Linked DNA regions of Schizosaccharomyces pombe. Changing the gene in region 4 together with the main gene of any one other region gives a genetic interaction. Each region holds a gene or a part of one and is shown on either strand. Other genes may lie near its edges. The genes, in order: rho1, imp2, gef3 and rgf3.

What was found.
Region 1: of rgf3 (region 4) and rho1, extra expression of one rescues a mutant of the other (dosage rescue), as found in Schizosaccharomyces pombe (4 studies listed by BioGRID).
Region 2: mutations in rgf3 (region 4) and imp2 impair growth when combined (synthetic growth defect), as found in Schizosaccharomyces pombe (one study listed by BioGRID).
Region 3: of rgf3 (region 4) and gef3, a mutation in one rescues a mutant of the other (synthetic rescue), as found in Schizosaccharomyces pombe (one study listed by BioGRID).

What each region holds. Positions count from the first base shown.
Region 1 is NC_003424.3:4,222,031-4,226,331, reverse strand, and holds rho1 (Rho family GTPase Rho1), read right to left. Parts: upstream 2,262-4,301; 5' UTR 2,153-2,261; coding exon 2,082-2,152; exon of another isoform or gene 2,010-2,081; intron 1,847-2,009; exon of another isoform or gene 1,751-1,846; coding exon 1,213-1,750; 3' UTR 508-1,212; downstream 1-507. Other genes in the region: protein tam6, read left to right, coding at 3,439-3,684; plasma membrane TRP-like calcium ion channel Pkd2, read right to left, coding at 4,199-4,301. UniProt on the Schizosaccharomyces pombe protein: Involved in the regulation of cell wall growth and actin cytoskeleton organization. Activates (1,3)-beta-D-glucan synthase.
Region 2 is NC_003423.3:3,346,202-3,350,952, reverse strand, and holds imp2 (F-BAR domain protein Imp2), read right to left. Parts: upstream 3,054-4,751; 5' UTR 2,973-3,053; coding exon 2,904-2,972; exon of another isoform or gene 2,810-2,903; coding exon 2,718-2,809; exon of another isoform or gene 2,653-2,717; coding exon 980-2,652; exon of another isoform or gene 932-979; coding exon 753-931; 3' UTR 501-752; downstream 1-500. Other genes in the region: protein Ndc80, read right to left, coding at 1-28, 78-105; protein tam11, read left to right, coding at 4,136-4,324; SPOM_SPBC11C11.01 (U2-associated protein), read right to left, coding at 4,665-4,751. UniProt on the Schizosaccharomyces pombe protein: Required for normal septation. Involved in the disassembly of the medial ring during septation.
Region 3 is NC_003423.3:2,068,609-2,073,186, reverse strand, and holds gef3 (RhoGEF for Cdc42/Rho3/Rho4 (Gef3)), read right to left. Parts: upstream 3,017-4,578; 5' UTR 2,802-3,016; coding exon 1,896-2,801; intron 1,840-1,895; coding exon 1,168-1,839; 3' UTR 508-1,167; downstream 1-507. Other genes in the region: ribosome biogenesis protein Rrs1, read right to left, coding at 4,294-4,578. UniProt on the Schizosaccharomyces pombe protein: Has a role in the control of cell polarity and cytokinesis. Involved in bipolar growth and septum formation.
Region 4 is NC_003421.2:1,238,184-1,245,642, forward strand, and holds rgf3 (RhoGEF for Rho1, Rgf3), read right to left. Parts: upstream 5,851-7,459; 5' UTR 5,030-5,850; coding exon 1,202-5,029; 3' UTR 538-1,201; downstream 1-537. Other genes in the region: RhoGEF family guanine nucleotide exchange factor Rgf1, read left to right, coding at 7,080-7,459. UniProt on the Schizosaccharomyces pombe protein: Stimulates the exchange of Rho1 GDP-bound form into GTP-bound form. Regulates, via interaction and activation of Rho1, beta-1,3-glucan biosynthesis and cell wall integrity during septation. Involved in the regulation of contractile ring assembly.

The DNA.
Region 1 (4,301 bases), on a different chromosome or scaffold from region 4:
GATTTATAAATTGTAAAGCTAAGTTGAGTTAGCTTTTTTGTTAAGACCTCTCAACTTTTAGATTTAAGATTTTGATTCCCATTTCTGTTGTAATATGTAACCTTACTAATGCTTTACATTAAAGCATGAAGATTTCGACTCTGCATTTTACTTATAAGCACTATAAAAGGTACACATAGAGATAGACAAACAGCTTTTAGTAGCTACAAAAACTTTGTTCTTTTCCCTTTAATTCACTATTTGCTCCCTCGCAATTATCCTTTTTTTTAGGTAAAGTCAACAATGCTTATATCTTCATCTGATAATCTTGCCTGTAGACAGAGTGAAAATCAAATGGTAATACAAATGCATAGATAGAATAACAACGGTCACCTTCAAAACATGAAATTGCAAACATTGGTATGCTTGACGTAAAGAGAATGAGATATAAACAGTGTGCAAATTTCCGCAAAATACAAAATGTTTAAACCATCAACTACGGCTATCTGCTACTTCGACTATCAACGTGTATAAAAATACCAAGCGCCTGTATACCAGCAAGGTTATCAACAGAGATAATGTCGCTTCAATTTTCTACAATAATTCTAGTGCAAAATTGGAGACCCAGCTAAAGTTCCACGATAATAAGCAATTACGTGCTGTGAGAAAGCTTATAAAATATTCGGGTTTTGATCGAGTTTCAATCGAGGTGTATATTCTTTAAATTACCGATTTATAAAAATTTACCAAGTCCTTTGACTAGGTAGAAAGGATAATAATGATGGCAATCCTTAACAAAAGAAACAAGGTATTATAGGAAAAATAAAACCATGCAATAACAAGGCAATAAGGGAAATTTTCTTCAAACTAATAGCGAAGAGTATAGCAAAGTAAGCAAAGACTGAAAACAAGACGCATACTCCTTGCAGGTGCCTATACGTTGCAGAACAGTGAGGGGAAATGGTAGAACAGCTATATGAAATGCGCTTAAATCATTGCCAAGCTGACTAAATGGCACGACTTGAGGTAAGTAAAAAGGAAAGAATGAGAGGATATAATGACTATGTAACATGATAGGCCACACAATGCAAAACTCCCACCAAGGTGAAGGTGAAATAAAAATCAACATAAGTCGAAAAAATACGGAAACTTGTTGAATGTGCTTCGACTGAAGAGATGTATAAAAACAGAAAAGATAAATTCTCTAAGTTAAAAAATTTGGAAACAAGCTGTTTACAACAAGATACAACGCTTCTTCTTCTTAGTTCCACTAGAGGGCTTCACTTTGGGCTTGTGTTTGAGCATAGCAGCACGAGTGGCTGATTCAAAAACCTCACGAACACCTTCATTCGTCTTGGCAGAACACTCAAGGTATTTGTAAGCACCAATCTTCTGAGCTACTGCTTGACCTTCTTCTGTGGTGACGGGATGCTGATTAGTCTTGGATAACTCCTCAATAATTTTTGGGTCGTTACGGAGATCAGCCTTGCAAGCGACAAGCAAAATAGGAAGACTGGAACAGAAATGGAGAACCTCGGAAATCCATTTTTCTTGAACATTGTCAAGAGAATCGGGAGAATCAACAGCAAAGCAAATAAGGATAACATGTGAGTCAGGATATGACAAGGGACGTAGACGGTCGTAATCTTCTTGTCCAGCCGTATCCCAAAGAGCCAACTCAACGTGGCGTCCATCAACCTCAACATCAGCTACATAATTTTCAAAAACAGTGGGAACATAGACCTCGGGAAAGGTTCCTTTAGAAAATACACTATAAAGAAAAATGTTAGAAGTTGTATAACAATGACACAGACTCGTGAAACATTGCAGATAAGCAAGCAAAGAGTAAGTAGAAATACAGGGTACGGAGTGCAAATTAAATCCTCGGAACATTTATTAAATGTAATCTAAACCCCATCTAAGTCTCATTTCTATGGGGATTCTTTCATTATTTTCTTGAGGCAATGAACATGCTTACGGAAATAATTTTCTTCTCCAGCCATGCTAAGCAAGAGATGTAAACCCTTGCCAATTTAAAACAGGCCCAAGCAACTACTTTACCCTTCTACTACCTTTCCGACGCTTGCACCATTTTTACTTACATTAATAAGCATGTTTTACCACATGCACCATCTCCCACAATAACGAGCTTTCTGCGAAGTTCTGTCGCCATCCCTAGATTTGTTTACTTTCTCCTGCTCTAGACAGAAAAATTTCGACGTAAATAAACGTTTTTCGACTCAAATTCTGACACCGCTCTTTCCTTCGATGTGGCAGTGGTTAGCTATTTACTAGGCTGTCAGCGGCTCATGTAACAACGAAAGGAAAGAAGGAGACGCTACTACACTTCACTAAATCTCGTTACTTTGCCCTAGCGCTCTTATAGATGAACCCTTTGAGTATGTATGGACGAGGCTGAGCCTGTACAGAGTGTAAAGTGCAATTAAAACAGTTTTATTACAAAAAGATTGTCTCCACTCCGACTTGATGTCAACAGACGTTTTTTTGTTTGAATCACAAACGCCAAAAAAAGCAGAAACCAGCGGAAAAATTTCGTTAACGTATTCAGTTTAGTCATAATATTCGAAGATAACGGAACGCATTTAATCCGCTTATCCTATTTTAACGTACACACTTTATTTCAGTATTTTATAAATAATAAACATAGCAGGAATATAGAAACTTTTGGAAGAGACATAAAGAAGCAAAGCTTCGTATAAATAGCTATAATTATAATTGTATACTCATAAAATTAAACAGCATTCTATTTGTAAAATGCAAATGTGAGATGAATTCCTAAATTCAAAAAGCGGCAATTTTTGGTGCCGAAAAATAATTTTACATGTCAGATTGAAGTAATAAAGCAATATTACGATGCTCTTTCTTTCTATCGTCGTTTTGTTTGCTCTCTTATTTCTCGAGATCAATAAAATCCTACTTTAATTTTACTAAAATTATATCGCCCAAAAAAATATTGATCCGGTAGCAGATCTACAAATATACAAAAATGAAATGTAACTTTAGCCTCTTTTATTCTTCTTCATAGTTAAAATAAAACAGACGGTTTCAGTAGATCTATAACTTAGCTCTTAACTCACTACTTTGTCTCTTTTAACTTTTGCCATTGATTCATTTCAGTACTGGAGAACATAAGACCAATATATTAAACAGTTTGAACAGCGCGCCCTATAGATTTCCCACAAATTGAAAGAGAAAAAAGTCCTGAGTCGTTATTATTGAACATCTATCAAATTGGATACCGTATTATTGATCGCTGACATTTCATTTTGTAGTTGACAAGAAAAGAAAAAGCGGGTTGAGTAAACTTTACCTTTTAGTGCTTTAATCTTGTTTATAAAGTGAAAGTGGTTGAAAGCTGTGTGGCCTCTTAATTATACACATATATATTTACGCGGTTACTTTTTTTTTATAGTTTATAAATTAAACTGATAGCTTTCGATGATGCCATCATCAAGTTTCCAACAAACTCCCAAACCCGTCGATTTAGACGATCCAAGGTTTGAACAGTACGATTGCTTGCCATGCCGCTTGGTGGGCGCAGGCGCTTTCACAGGTCTAGGAATATATGCCTATTCGCAATCTAGAATTCCTTTGAATACACCCAATTACAAGCTTAAACGATTCGGTATTTTGGGAATGGCTTATGGATTTATTCTTACCGGTGTCTATAGATTGTTTCAATAAAATGTTAATAAACGTCGTTTTCTATTATCAGTTATCTTAAGACGTGAAGAAGTAACTTGAATCAGAAGTAAATGTTTTTTACTAAATTGCATTTTAATCAAACGGGTGAAGTTTTTTTGCTTTCTGATGCACATCCAACAAATATGCTTAAATGGTAACTAAACCTATACACTATAACAATTATGGAATAAAAGAAAAGAAGCAGAAATGAAGGGAAAATTCTGAAATATAATTAAAAAAAGAACCATAAATAAAAAAAAGGATGCGAATACACTAAATAGTTGACTTTTGTCTAAAAATAAGATTTAGACATTGATTGCTTATTGAACCTCCTCGTCGAGTTCATTGTAAGAATGCTTGTGTGAATTGTTTTAAAGGTCTTTTACCCCAAACTTTGTAGAAAATTATAGTTTAAAAAAATCTCAGAGACAACAATTGTATAATAATGAAAGAATGTGTAAGGTAGATGGAATGTAATATATATGTAATACGACACAACATTTTCCATCCACGTTTAACGAAAAGCATTGTTAGGTAATGGTTTGCGTCGACGTTCAGCGTTGTTATTATTTTCAGAGATGCGGGTATAATCTGATTCCATAAATGGTTGTTCGACG
Region 2 (4,751 bases), on a different chromosome or scaffold from region 4:
TTAGATGAAGAAGGTGCCTGTGAATACCCTAAACTTATTGTTAACTTATTAGTCAAAAGAAAAAAAAGAAAACATACGCCTCGCGTAAGAGGAAGAATCTTGCATTTATAGTAATACAAGCAGATTGTTGTCTTTTATCGTTGGAGACGTTAGTTATAACAACAAAACCACTTTGCTAAGTAACAAAAATAACAGTGAATAGCGATTTCCAATATAGAACCGCAAAAATTTATAGTGAATCGCTTTGCAACTTAAAAAAGATATCGACAACGGCAGGATTCGAACCTGCGCTCCCAAAGGGAATCCGCTGGGCTACAGAATAGCAGGCGAACGCCTTAAAACCACTCGGCCACGTTGTCACAGCTTACTAGGAAATAGTAATTAGTTATACATGAAGCTATTATAGACCTGTGTGTTAACTTAGATTGGTAAAGATTTGATGTTTTTTAAGTTATTACAGAATTTTAGAAGCAAACGAGAATTACTAGAAATATTTAGGTAGAAAATGGTGCAATGAATGACAATAATTCAATCATTTTGAACATAATGCTATATATAACAATCGGTATCATTTTAATCTGCAAAATTCATAAAGATTTATAAGATAATAATCTTATAATGTAGATAACTTAACTAAACGTGTAGCATTCTAAATATCCTATAATGTAAAACAACCAAAATTAGAAATCTAGTATTTTAGATTTAAATGAGAATGAGAAAAGATGAGAAAATGCGAAACTATAATACGAAAGCTAAACCTCGATTTCACGAACAAAATTTGACGGAAATTGCCCACGGTTATGGTCATCCTCTCCAACGACAAATCCCTCCCACCAGCCGTCTTCATAAAGCTTAAGAACTGCAATGGTATCTCCCTTCCTGAAGCTTATCTCTTCGGGTATTGCAGCATCATAATCATATAAAGCAGATACTAAATTCAAGTTAGTAATTGTAATAGCGATGGACAGATTAGACATACCATAACCAAGAATACGTTGACCATCTGTACTTGTTGGATTATCAATACTGGTGTCACCGCCGTCTGTAGGATATGCAGGTAAAGAAAGTCGGTTAGACGTGTTTCCAGTAGCTTTTGTATTTATTGTATCATCAACAAAGGAAGAGTCCCGATCAGTATAAGGCTCGTCATCGGTAGGTGCAGTACCACTTGCTGGATCAACTCGAACACCGAAATCATAATTTGGCTCTAAATTTCCTGGTGTTAAGGAACGAGGAAGTCGGCTGGCATTCTGAGAAAGGGAAGAGGAAGGACGTTTTGGTGACCTACTTTTCCTCAATGTGAATGAACTTCGAGATCCATTCTTTCTTGAATCATAAACGGGTGAAACCGCACGATTCTCCATTTGTAGTACACTACCAAATTCTTCCTGAATTTGTTGACGCCGTGATGGAGTGTTAACATTTGGGCGGGAGTCCTCGGTGAAAGAAACAGAATTAGGACTTGGTAGAGAACCAAGTTCGTTATACCTTGGTGGTAGTGTATTAGAGTTAGGGAAGGCACCAGGAGCAGCAGGCGTAGGATTCTGTTTTGGCTCTTCTTGTAAAGAAAGATGCTTCATCTGTTCATCAGCCGCTGAAGTTAAAGGAGAGTCATTTCTCGGACTTGATAATGCATCCGGAGCCGTATTACCAACGTTTGGAGTCGAAGGACGACTCGTTAATTTAAACTTACTCAAAAAGCTTTTCTTTGGAGAGCTTCTACCATTTTGGGAAGAGTTAGAAGAAACAGTGGTAAGCGATTGAATTGCACTAGGAGTATTAGGAAGGGTATTTTCGAAGGACGACTCATTACGAGCGGTGGCAGAAAGGACGTATGGACGATTCAATGGCATGTTGTCATTTTCTATTTTGGTTTGGGCCCGCTGAAAATTAGCCTGAACCAACTCTACAGAATCATCGGGAACCTCGCCCTTATAATAGTCATAAAATTTTGGAGGTTGAGGAATTCCCGTTCCTGTAGATTTTGCGTCAATAAATTCCAAAACATCCTGAGAGACACTGCACTGTTCAAGATTTTTGCGAATTCGTTCACATGCTTGATCATCATTAAAGCAACTACGAGAGATAAGTAGTGTAAATGTCCACATGACGCTTTTCAGGAAATGTCTTCTTTCTTCTTCAATGTCCTGAAGTTTGTCACAGGTTGACCGCCATTCGTTGGTCCAACGAGCGTATGAATCTCTGACAGCTGCTACAGCTGATTGATAGTCAGAAGAACTAGCAGTGATAGCATTCTGAGTCTTGTTTAATTTCGCATTGTTCTTCTCTAGCTCCTTTCCGAAAAGCATGTTTTGCTGAGAAACATAGTAATTTACTTTCTTGCACAAGTAATGGTATTTGTCTTGAGCTTTAACAAGAGCTTGATGCTTGGAGAGTTTATCCTTATGAACTTTTTCTATCCCCGAAACGATCATCTTTTTCTTGTCCTTTAAAGAGGCAGCGTACCGCGTAAACGCATTTTCGACATCATCCTGAAGCAACTGAGAAATCTGCAAATGAGACTTTGCCATATTGTCAACTTCAGCTTTCATAACTTGGACTGATTCTTTGAGGCAACCAGTTTCCAAAGAACTGAAGGTTGTTCGAGACAACTTTGCCATTCGCTTGGCATAATCTTCTTCAATGTTCGCTCTAAGGTTGAAGTTAGAATAAACGATCATAGCATGTTAAACCCTGCTTCACCTCAAATTTCTCACCTTTCATGATAAAACGACCGAAGCTCTTCATTAATGTGTTTCACATCGCTAAAACGCGAAAGTAAAGCATGATAACCCTCATCATTTGCACCCTAATAAAGAATGTTAGTTAAGGTGTTGTGTTTAACACAAAAATCGAAAGTTTTGGCAGATAATGAGCTATCCACGTTGGCTTAGACACCATACCCAAAAGTAATTTGAAAAACTTTTATCAGGCTTTGCTGAAGATGCATTAAAGCTTAATTGTTGAGACATGTAAACGGAAAAAAACACGAATTAAGAGATTTTTCAATCTCGCCTTTATGGCAGTATTCTTTATTCGTATATGGTGGTGGTGTTGATTGTAAATGAAACTAACAACGAGGTAAACAAACGGCAACGCGTTGCCAGGTGCAGCTTTTCATGTCAACAATTAACAAATTTATCAAGAAAACCGATGTAATGAAGATTTTTCAGCCTTAAACTATCAAAAAAAAGCAATAGAATATTGCAGTGGAAAGATAAAAAGCCTTCAAATGCTGAGATATATATGGTGAACAATTGATTCATTCAAAGTCCACTTTATTCATCCTTGAGACTCTATAATTGTTATCTCTGTTAAGCGCACAAGTTTTGCTCACTATTTTGTATTGATTATGTGTGAATACTGTGATTTGAGAAGCGACCCAAGGCAGTCCTGAAAAAAAATACTTACCATAAACTCCGGTAAGCGAACTTATAGACTTAGACATTATGCTAATAAAACAATGATTTAGCATGTATGTATTTGCAGACTTCACGTTCTGTATAGCTATCTCCCGTCTCAAATCGTTTTACTATGTAAAATATTAAATTTTTGAATGGAATGCAACATGCTATTAATCAAAAACTTAATATACTATGCAAGCGGTTCAGGCGTACTGAAAAGTAATATTTTTTAGATAGCTCGATTTGTACCTGCAGCATCATTCGATGTGAATAAAAAATCGTATAATAATTTGTTTACTTAGTGAAATACACTAATCGAAAAAATAAATAAACACTAAAAAAAACATAAATACAACGTTTATGTGAGTCAAATAGATTAAACATATTCATTTATCAGGTACATACAAAACGCCCTTGTAATTCTCGGTTTTTCTTCCAATTTCCATTATTTTCAATCTTATTTTTTATTTCACGAGATCGCATTTCTTAATAACCCGACTTACGTCATGGGTTGGCGGTAGGGACGCTGATATGTTTACTATATATACAGCAGCCGCCCGGCTTCGGCGGTTTATTCTTTAACAAAACAACTGGTGATAAATACTCATTCTATCACACTTAAACACTAGGTGAGATTAAAGTTATTAATTGCTTTTGTCCCTATACATTTGCGAAGTTTTGATAATACGACCAACCTTGAATTTTTTGTACATCCTCTGAAATTATAAATAATGGAACGCGAAGGTAAAGAAGACGTTCGTAAAGCCGACCACAAGATTGTTTATGGTATTGAACGTGTGCGACATGGAATTAACAACTTTTTTGATGACGTTGGAAAAGCAGTAAAGTCGGAAAGCGATACTGCCGACTCCAAGAGAAGTGCTGAGGCGAAAGCCGATGAAGCCCCTGCTAAAATGTAGTGTCTAAAATTACAAGTACTTATACTCACTTTTAAAACATGATCCTCCAACTTTTTGTGATGCTGAACTTTACGATCTTAGCCATGCATGGCGAAAACTGTTTATATATCGAATTGATAAAGCCAGTTTGCACAGCAGCAATAGCATTCTTCGTCTATAAGTTATTCAATACAATGCTTGATGAAAGAGAAAACAAAAATCGTTGTCATTAAAGTATAATAGTATTACGGGTAGTTAAAAATGGATAAATTTAACATCAGTCATACCTTGTTTATATGAAAAGCGATATTCTAAATTGTAGAAGTGTAGTTCTTTTTTATCAATTGCATTCTTCTATTTTCTAGAATAAATCCTCCGCATGCATACGCATGCGCTTTGAGACGAATGTGCCTTGAGTAAAACTGGGTTTGAACTTTGCTTTCCGTTC
Region 3 (4,578 bases), on a different chromosome or scaffold from region 4:
GATAATTGGCATACAGGAATCCTATTCAAGTTTACAATAAAATGCATTATTTCCAACATTCATATAAAAATATCCTATGTCAAGCACTGAAATGTTGCAACCTATGTGTAACTTGTACCAACTGATATTTCAAGTAGATCATCGAAGAAATGGTTTATGGTTGAATTAAAAGAAGTGACACGATATATGAGTACTAAATGCAATAATTAATTACAGAATGTAATCCATACTCTGTACCGGCAATGCTGTAAGTATAAAAATTTTAGATTCCACCATACTATGTATCGATCGGAATCCGCCAATTAGGTACTTTGCAATTGGCAAAGACGAGCAGGTGAATAAAGGTATCTCTAGCAATTTACTTTATTAGTATTTGTTTAAAAAAGTGACTCCCGAAAAAGTCGAGAAAGAAGATTGAGTTTAGAAGCAAGAATAGGTTTGAAGCAGAGATTTAGACATAAGAGTTTGAAATGTCAATTTGAATACTGAAAGATAATTTATAATAGTTTGCAATTTTTTGTTATTTCCTTAAAGAAGGTGTAAAAGTTAGTCAGCTCCTTGTTGTTTTGTAATTATAAAATGTGAATTCCTTATTTTTAATCCATAATAAATAGATAAACTAATAATAAAAGGCAAAGAGACAATGAAGCTTTTGAAGAAAAATATTAGTTAATTGGGCATATCAAAAACAGAATACAATGCCTCTCATGATCATGTTTTGAAAAGATATCGATGAAAGTAAAATATTAACACGAAAGGTATCCGGTCGTAGTAAAAATACAATGCATGCTGTATTTTTCAAAAGAAACTGACAAATGCGACGAAAATTAAAGAGAAAAGAATGTTAAAATTAAAGAAGGAGATGCGACAAAAACGAAAGCGTCTGAAAATGGAAATGTTTCTGCGTGACAAAATTAGATTGCCATCCAAAAATGAAATGAAAAAGGATACGTAAAAGATAAAGCAAATTAATAAAAACCAAATTCTAAAGTAAGCACGTATCTCCTAGATAAAAGAAAGATTTTGTAAAAATTGATCCAATAAATAAATACCTTTAACCGTGATAAAAAGAGACACATTAGTCAAAAAAAAATGAAAGAGAAATAACTTAAGTTCAAAAAGTCGATTAGTAACGGAAGTCATTGGAATATCCGTAATATCGTGTATTCATTTTGATTTTGGGGAGGACTCCATACTAGACCGCAAACTGGTGAAATCCATTATGGATTCAATCGATGGAATATCCTGGTGGTCAGTTAAGTTGAATTTTGCAACGACAGGTTCAAGGACTTTCTGAATGGTATCGTAAAAGGTAGCTTGAATTTGAGCAAATGCTAATATACATTCGTCGGTAACATTACGCGCCATCTCCAAAAAAAGAGGAAGTTCTTCTAAAAGGCAATTACTAAGTAAAGGGAAGCTTTCAAGGTCCTCTTCAAAAACCTGAGATTGGCGTCGCTTGGAAAATGCTGTAGCTTTTTTGATCCATACATCGGTAACACAAAGGGGGTTTCGGAAGAAAAGAATACCATTGGAAATAGGTCTCAAAACGGATGTTTGACATTGCTCTGTCAAACGAAGCACTGCACCCTTGGCAATGTTGTCTAATGCTACACTAATGAGAGCCCATTTGTCTGCAGATTTAGTGTCTTTACAAAACACAGAATAGGCTTCGACGAAGGTAAAGAATTTTAGGTAATGATATCTGGAGAATTTTAACCAATCACAGATAGCACTTCGTAAATTTAAAAGATTGGTATAGGATGAAGACAGTTGATGGACAAACGCTAGAATGGGCTCATGTTCAGGTACGTAGAAAATGTTTGTAGAATTTTGAAGCTAAAAAACAATTAGTCGAAAAATTTAAAGATAGAAAATCATTGAACCCGACGTACCTTTGCAATTTTCTTGTCAATTGAATCTGTGGAGAGAAGTAAGACCTCTTGGGAATTCGAGACGCTATCCAGGGCTGTAATTATAATATCTCGTCTCCTTTTTAACTCATTCATTCTTTGGCTAGCGATCTCAGATTTGTGACAAGCTTCCCCGAGCAACACATAGTCGGAAATGATACCCAGTGAAGCAGATCGGTAAAGCTGATTTAGTAAAAGCGGATACTTCAGAAAACGCTGCACAGGCTTTACTAAAAAACTATCTAAATTCCAAGAGTTACTTTCAATTTTTGCCATGCTATCACATTCCTGCAAATATTCTGAGATTGATGAGTTCTTCATCCATTTTTCCACCTTTTTGCCAATGTTTTCTTGAATCACGCAGTATCGACCATAGACAGCAGATAGCTTGGGCAACCATGAAAGAAATAGTTGTGCAACGGAAGGCTTAGGCTTCAAACAGGCATCTTGATCATCCAAAATGTAATTGATTTCGTCGTTCAAGGATTTGTGCATTTCGATTTCGAAAAGTGATGCTTGCTTGCACAATACCAGAAAAATCTCAAACACATCTTTCCATTCGCTTTTTTTTACTCGGTCCGATAATCGGTCAGCATAGTACCGTTGAGCTACATGCAGATCATGAACGTAAGCGGCTTCTGAATCACGAAATTCCTCCAGAACAGAAATAATGGCTTTTTGTTTACTCCTCATAGCAATCGTCGATTCTGTGGTAGTGCTACAACTAGTTCTTGTCGACCTTGTTTCAGTTTCATGTTGACTTAACGCTATGGTCCAGTCAGGCCGTAATTTCAAAGTATCTTCTAAAGTGTGTGTCGAATTGGCTATAGGCAAGCTATCTGAAACAACTCTTTTTCCACGGCTTTGGAACATCCTTGGGTTACTCATCTTTAATCGGCTGTTGATTCAATGAGTTATCTACTCAAACGCGGGCACTTAGGAGTTCGTAGCGCGTTTGATTAGATCTCACAAAGCTAAAACAGAGTAGCAAGGCCGTTGATGAGTCGATTTCTTCTTTAAATACAATGCTAATTTAATCCAAAGAGTAACGCTTTTATCAATGAAATAGTTGAATAGCTGTTTTCTTTGTTGTTGCGGACGGCAAGAATAACCAGGTTACCTTAGTGGATATAGGAAAGAATTCCGCTTTTGAAAGAATGACTACAATGATATTGTACTTTATCAACATAAGCAAAGTTATTTGTACATAAATTATTTTCTTTTCTTATTTTTTAAAACTAACTAGTGGTCTTTGGGGATGCATTAAGTATTTGCTTAAAATATCGAACGTAAACAATACTTAGAAAATTAATGATATACACCATAAAATCGACGAAGTAGCCAACCGAGAAACAAATGATAATATTGGTAAGCTTTTTTTTGGATTAATGAGTTTTTCTTTAATTTTTTTTCTATTTATTTGCATTTTTTAAATTTTTTTTATTATTACTACTAAAAGCATCAATCTCATATCAAAATTAATTATTATGTTAAATATTTAAATAAACAAGTCAGTATTAGAAAACTTATTATACACTCGGTTTAAAAATGATTAGAAATTGAAGTATGGCTTGCACATTTATTTATATAATCTACTAAAAATTTATGTTTACCACTCAAAAGGATATGTTTTGATTGAGTATATCATTCATAGAAAATGCAAAAACCAATTTTAGAACATAAACAATTATATTTTTAAAAATTCACAGCTATATTTGCATCAGCCGGGAGTCGAACCCGGAGCTAGAGCATGGGAAGCTCCAATGTTACCGCTACACCACTAATGCATTCAGATATTTAGACTGATGTTGCAATCTATATAGTAATTTAGAAAGGATTGTTATTGTTGAGTCTGATGAAATTCTGTTTGTTGAACATTTCAAAAATGTTGCATATCAGTTAGCCATGAGTTGGGCTCTTAATATGATGTTCCAGCCTTTTAAGACTGCATACAGAAAATAATAATTAACTACGATATGGTCGCATTTTAACTGTATGAAACTTTTTTTACAAGAGGTTATTAGAAAATTCAATTGGAGGAAATCCCACAGTGTATCAAAACAGTTGCTGTTAAAACTTACTTTACACTTAACTCGTAAACATTCAACATTTTAACGTTCGATTTTCGAGTAGCAGCTTCAAAAAAGTGCTCGTTAATTTTTAACACATAAAAATGTGTAAACAAAGCAGCCACATAACCGATGTCTTACATATTCCTTCTGTACCCGTTGATATCCCAATTGAAGAAGGGATTTTAGTTGTAGCAAACAAAAACAAACGATAATAACAAAATAAAAATGATATTATACCACTTAACCCATGAATAGCTAAATTATAGTAAATTTTTAAATTAAGAAAAATTTTTTTTAAGCAGGACCAATTAATGGCGACGAGAGCGCTTGATTTTTTTTGAGGTATTTCTCACTTGCTTGGAAGTAAGCTTCTTTTCCTTTTCTCCCTCTTCAACAAGCCATTGTGTCTCTAATTCCTTATTTTTACCCTTATAACCCCATTTTGGTACCCATTCACCAGATGCTTCATCAAACACCAACCTGCCTTCCCGCTTCTTAGGAGCAATACCTTTAATACGAGCAAACCGTTGCCATTTGGTTTCGGGCTTGGGTTTAGGTAAAGGTTTAGCACGAGGAAGAGGTGTAACAGTTTC
Region 4 (7,459 bases):
ATCAACAAATGCACAGAGAAAACGTTAAAGAACTATGTTGTTGGATACTTTTTGTACTCCCCGTTGAACGCACAGCAATTAATGATTTAAGCACTTGAACATTCGATTAACGCATGCGTTAATCGAACGTTTATGTACTTGATCATATTTGCGTTAAAACATTTAGTATAGGTTAAGGTAGCATCCAGAAACATTCCTATAACATAATGATTTTAATATCACAATTAAGAAGGTATATATATCTTTTAAAAGAAATAATATTAATAGATGGAGGTCATTATATACTCGGTCTTTTGCAATTAAAGTCCTGACAAATTTTTAAAGCTTTACTTTCATCAAGATTGAAGATATTAAGTAATAATTGAAAATACATTGTACTAATACTCAAAACATCAAATGAACGTAGGATTAGGGGTTACGGTTTAATCGAAATTTCATGTTCCCCCGTGCTTTTAGGTAAAATGATTGTATAAAAAACTCCCGCTATTACAGATATATGAGTAATTTGTGACTAGATACGCAAATAATATGTTCCTCATCGTACCGAACACAACTTTTAAAGCAAATAACTAAACTCGGCATTTATTTATCTACATTTTATATATAGCACTCTAATCATGCCTCTTACTGAATAATTATAAGAACACGCTCTAGCTAATAATCGCAATCAGTAATTATTATGTGCTTACTGACCATCTACAGCTATGGCCCTGGTAATAATCAATAAGTAAATATACAGAAATGTTAGTTGCTTCAGTTAGTGTTTGAAAGAAAGCATGGTGCTTCAATGTGTAACCACATCTTTAAACTTATGATCAAAACATGCAGAATACCATAACCAGTTACGTAAAAAAACAACAATGTTCTCTGTTTTCATCAACTGTAGTCGGCAAGTTTATGCAACTTGTACAATAAGCCAATTTTGGCTTAACACTGAACATAATGATAGTAGCGATCATTTTAAGTAATTAAAAAATGTTAATGCATGCAGATTTTAATATTCCTTTGTGATAAAATGGGTAGGGAAATGTAAAAAAAAAAAAAAAGAAGAAATAAAATTTCAAGGCTGCGATAAAATATGATTCGAAAGATGCAGGATGTTCCGTAAAACAAAATAAGATAAACGTTTCCGATATTCAAAAGTATGGATGAGTAAAAAAGACAATCATGGCAAGAAAACTTGTAATAAATATGATAATTATCAATCTTCAATTATGAAGGAGTTTGTTTTTGCCTTATTTAAAGCGAGTATCAAATGGCGATCGTGATACTGAGGATGAACCATGCCAAACATTATATATTTCCCATTGGCTAGCCAATCACTGTTACTAGGGTAGTATTTAATGTCATTTCCTTGGATAATTTGATTAAGTTTCCTAGTTCGCGTGTTCCATATTTCGACAAATTCATCATTAAATGCAATGAGATATCCATGACAGCTGGTAACAGAGTTCGGTTTGCCAATCCAATCAAACCAACACTCTTTATTAACCATACTACCCTCTCCATTGACAAACACGGCACCGAATTGATAGCAGCATGCAAATAAGCTAGGATCGTGGATGCGAAAGACGCCAAGCGGCTTACTGTTGTTGATTCGGTTCCGAAACAACGTATCATTAAGCACTGAAGGGCTTGGAAAACCAACTGCTAATTTAGGGTCCAAACGCAGAACGTCAATGCCTTTATTGTGACAAAGAGCAATTGAATACTTAAAGCAATCAATTGAATGACAGTTAGCCGTTACGTGAAAATCATCCAGAGTTCTGAAGGAAGTAACATCTTTTCTCTTGAAGGCATATGTTTTCTGATAGTTATGTCCTAAGCCGATCACTGGTTCACAGCAAATTATGGTTGTAGTATTACCGAGTCCCTCTTTATAAAAAACCAAAGTTCGCTCACGTTTAACAGAAGCCCCCTCAGACAATTTACCTATTTTAAAGAATGATACGGCATGCGGAGTTCCAATGACAACTGCAATTTTGGATTCGATCAGACCCATTTCAATAATACGACTTAATTTATGAGCATAAAGGGTTTTGTCACGTAGCTCTAATAGGATATCAAATTCCTCAACAACTCCAAGCTGGGTAACGCGTCTTTGACTAGAGATCTTTTTCCAATCGCGAATGTCACTGGAATCACCAAATGCGCCTAAAAAGATACCGGTAGATGTAGCAATCAAAACCGAGACATGACCTTCGTAGTCATTAAACTGGGCAATACAACTTATATCGCCATAGGCAATAGGCTCTGGCAAAAGCTCCTCACTTACAATTGGGTGTTTCCACGCTACCTCATTGAGTGCGCGATCAATCGAAGAGCCTTCAACCAAAGTAATTTCATTAAAGCTGTTTAATGGTTCATTTCCATTAACTAAGTCGGAAGGAGGGTACTGAAAGGCAACGTCAGATACAACTTTCAATGCAAACGGATTCTTAATATTTATCTTCTGAGAGTGTCGTTTTTTTGCGACATTAATTTTTTCAACCCAGAGTTTACGAAGCTGAAGTGACTCAACGTAGAGTGTATAACTAGCGGTGTAAGCACCAAGGTGCCTTATTGTGAAGGGGTAAAGTTGAGACTTCTCAAATACAGCAGAGTTCATTGAGTTTTCGTTATTCTTTTCAGCAGTGGCATCGAACATTAGTTCAAGATTCACCTTACTCTTCCTTTTACTCTTAGTGGTAAGAGATTCCTGTGGTAAATTGCCAGCTAAACTGCCAAGAAATTTATTAGTGTTTGATTTAAGTTGAAAATCGTCCATTTTAGGGCTTAGAACAAGCAAATCTAATGGTATTGGCCTTTTTGAAACAACATATCTTGAAGCATTTGTTCGTTTGTCTTTTCTTGCTTTGGCCATGATCAAGTAATTATCGAGCAAAAACAAGTGGATGTCCAACCAATCCAAGCGGGAATCACTTCTACGTTGAACTATTCCTTCAAAAAAGAACTCTCTTTCAGGATCCCTTAGCTCTAGATTGACACTTTCATGATTTTTAAACAGAAGTTGATACGATAGATCGCGAATACGATTGGCCTCAAGTACGGTAGCTATAACGGCATCACATTCCTCGCAAGTTGCTCTCAGTTCTTTGACAGCTTGAGTTATTAATTGAAAATCCCAGCTGGACTGCTCGGTATGCTTTAAAATTGTATCCAACTCAAGCGTGTATCTTTGTAAACGTTGAGTAGGTCTTTGCAAGAAATGCTGGAAATCCAACCGACGACATCTAGGATCTGATCGACAAGCAGCAAGCCAACGTGCAAAGTAAGTATTCCTTTGACATTCTAGCTTATAAGTTTCATCTGCTAAAGGGAACTGTTTGGCATAATTAATATAAGAGGATTTAGCAGCATGAATCCACTCTAGTAAGATATCACCAATAATTGAAACTACTGGGCCCTGGAGACGTTCCCTCATAATTAATTGTGGTAAGAACAGTCGAGAATGCAATTGTCTGATTGATTCAACATTTCCAAATACAGATTGAATAAAGTCAGCCACTCGATTGCTGGGAACAATCGCATCTTGCTGCTGCACAATTCCGTCCCTAAACAGTTCAGCTAGGGTATTTAAGTCTGCAACGTAATCAGATTCCTTACAAATAAGCTCGTGGATATTATTTTGCCTAGCAATCTCTCTTTTACTGAGAGAAGATGGTAATGAATTTAGAGAAGAAATGTTCCAGAAAATGCTCCAAGTATCGCTACTCTGTCCTGGCAGAGAAGTGAATTCAAGCGACGAGTTACGAGCACATCTACAGCTATAACATTGATATTTGGAAGGACATGATCTGGATCTACAAATGTAAGAGTAACAGCCGCCGTTGGTCAAAAATGGAAGTACTCCACTACCAGAAGGAGGTTCATTAGATGTGAAAGCAATTTGAAGCTTTTCAAGATTTATGACTTCCACAAGACCGTAATTAATCCAATCACCAAGGATGTTTTTCGCGATAATTTCAGCAATCAAAAATTCCATAGATGCAATGTGAATAGTAAATAGCGTAGCCATCACCTGAGCTACTTCTCGACGAGACACACCTTCGTGGACCAGGCCACCAAGAGCAGTAAACACTTCTTCTTTGCACCATTTGTATAATTTACCGACCAACCAAGGTTCTCTACAGCTGCTAAAAAGGGTTTCCGATTGAGCACGTCTGTGAGTTCGAGTTATCAAAGGAGAAGAAATTTTTCCAGATGCATAGTCTTGGACAGGTATCTTTGGTAGCTGTCTTGTAGAGGAAATATCAGATTTTAAACTATAAGGATTTGGGGGTGTTAGATATTCGACGGAAGGGCTTAAAGGCGACTGTGGACGAAGAGCGTCGCTCGAGTAAAGACGAATCGGACTAGGAGTGCGAGCCGGTGATCGAGTAGGTGATAAAGGAAGATATGGCTCTGGTGAGCAGGATAACGATATGTCATTGTATAGAGAGTAAAGACTAGTGGAGGATGTGGTGCTGTAAGGAGAAGAATGCGAAGAAACAGAAGAAGGAAGGGGTGGACGTGGTAAAGGATGCACTAAGGACCCACCAGGAGAAACAGGCGTTTCAGGTAATGGACGAAACGAATCTACAGTATTTTGTTTGTTTCCAGGAGATGTTAAAAAGGGGTCCGTGTCAAGCGGGTTGTTAGGACTGAAATCATCAAATAAGGCATTAGGAAATGAAGAGTAAGTAGTATAGGCTGCAGAATTTTGAGGTTCATTCGGCAATTGTCGATACGTTGTTCTTGATGGAGATGACTGAACCGTGTAAGACGCGACTCTACGAGAGTTAATGGATGCTGGATGTTGAGGAGGCGAATAAGAAAACCGATGGGGAGAATTATTCGAACGTTTAGAAAGAAAAGGAGGAGAAAAGAGTCTGGTGGTAGAAAAGTCGGAAAACGATAGACGTTTCTGAAAAGATGGTGGAGAAGAGGAATGAGGAGGATAAGTGTCCTCTGAAGAGTCTAAACAAATTCGGCTCTTTCCACCATGGTCTTTCGAGCTCCGATGAAAAAGTTCATTGGAGAGCTTCATAAAAGAAAAAGTGGTAGGGGGAACCACAATCACCAAAAATGACTAGGTCAAAAAAGAACTACAATAATATTTGAAGAATCAAGGCAAGCTAAGGCCAAATAGGAGTCAATTTCAATTGCAATCCAAGAAAGAGAAAGGTCAAAACTAAATGTTGCAGGATGGACAGTGCAACAAAAGAGAAAAGAGAGGTGAAAAAAGATAGAAAAAGGAATTGAGAAAGAAGAGTATAAAAAAAAAGAAAGAAATGCGAAGAGAAATTAATAAATGGAATAAAATAAGGGAAAATAAATTAAAATAGAACAAATTCAGTGTCAATGGAATTCAAAAAATGCAAACCAATCTCGTACGCCCTCAAAAAAAGCAATTTTATAGTAAGCCGGAATGAAAACGATTGATGCTTTCAAAGTTATGCGATGAACCAGAGAAACTCCCGTCCTCTATTAATAAAAGACTTTGACATAAAATTACGAATACAGAAAGAAAGAAAAAAAGAAAGAAAGAATTGTATCGCAATATCAATGCAACAGTCTGTTTATTCGGTTTGTGATGCCACAATAAAAGGGTTAGGGCGGAAGGAATAATATAGGATGATCTGATTGAAACAACCCAAAAAGGAAAGAAAGCTCCCAAGCGTTTCAGAGGAATCAAGTTTCGTAGGTTTATAGACAGAGAAAGAGAGAAAGCAAAAGCAGTATATTATGAAAGGTAATGACTTGATCAAAAAAACAACCTCTTCTAATGAAACGTTTGGGATAAATCAAAATCGATGCCTAAGAAAAGATTATAGGACTTTATGGTTTTTAAATATATGTGTAAATGTTAAATAACTTATAACCCACCACCAAGGGATCTTCGTGGACGGCGAGCGGAGTGGATAAGAAAATGGCTGGTTGTATGTTCGCGACGGAAGAACAAAATTGGTCTTTGACTAGCAAATTTTCCAAATTTAGATTACATGATTTAAACGATAAATAGGGCAAATAAAGTGTACAAAAAGATATTTGATCAATTTATATGATGTTGAGCACAAGCTGAATAGTAAACAATGCGAACGCAATTAAAATAAAATAAGTCAATACAGCATAGTCATAGAAATCGATCAATTGAGGTTATCCGGATTAAAGCTAATTATTTTAGATGATGTTTTTCATATTTGTAAATCGGTAATACAATTATGAGCTGGTCGGACAGAAAAAGTGAGCACATAAATTGCAGCAAGTAGAAAAGCAATAGGCAATATAAAGTAAAGGAGTTCATTCATGACTTCCCTTTTTATATAAGCGTTTTTTTTTTTAGTGGAAAGTCGACCAGGATGCAGTTGAATGTTGATATTAACTTTGTTAGGACTAGTGAAAATTCAGATTTGTACTTTTTTTTTAAGGAGTTCAAGACTTTTTTACTACATATTCAACATTGAAATCACCTTATCTATAGAAGAAGTAGATAAACTTAGCCCAAAACAGCATACTGATGACTTATAGCTTCTCATCCCTTCATAATATTAATGCGGTTTACTGCTGCTGTAACAATTCTTCTGATATATTAAGTATACGTATTTTTCCCTTCGAGGATAATCTTTTCTTAATATACCTGTTGCTCTCTCAAATTGCTAAGCAGACAAGTAAACAAATCAATTGTTTCATTGAACGAACCAGGACGGCTATATAAACTTATTATTATAATTTAAATCAAATTTTAAACATTCAACTCTGGAAACACTAACAAAAGCCTTTTTTTATGTCGCCTTTTAGCATGTGTTTCGAGTGGAAACCCTCCATGCAAAAGAAATTGAAGGTGAAAGCAATATACTAAAGCAAAACATTAATTCATCAAGCAATACGCAATTTACATATTAATGGTCTTTGATTTAGAAAATCGTATAAATTAGAATTTTTCATCATCTTACCGTTATAACGAGTTCGTAGCTACTTTCGCAGAAAGTTTGTGGTCAAATTATCTTGTCTTTTTCTCCACCACCAAACCCTCGTTTTCACGGGAAACATTCAGCATTGTCGATTCGATCGTCAAACTGATTGTTTTTATAGTAGCAATGGATTACCGGCATCCAAATGCACTCGGTGTGAATGAGAGCTCGCGTGCTTATGAGGAAATTTTTGGTGCTCCAAGAAAACGGGAGCCGGCGAGAACTGTAAGTACTCCTGCGTTCATGGAACCGGCTCCAGTCTCAAAAAAACCTCTTCCTCCTCCCACGCGAAGGCTTCCTCGGAAACCTTTGCCCTTTCGTTCCACGAGTTTGCAGCCTCCATCGTCTCAACCTCCTGCACCTCCAACTCATCAGAGAGAAGCATCTCCTGTGAAAAATATTGAGCACAGTGAATCTTTTCCTTCCGTTTTTGGTACTTCAAATAATCACCAGATCGTCCCATTGACTCTTAAAGACGGAAATGATTTTGGTGCTCTATATGCATC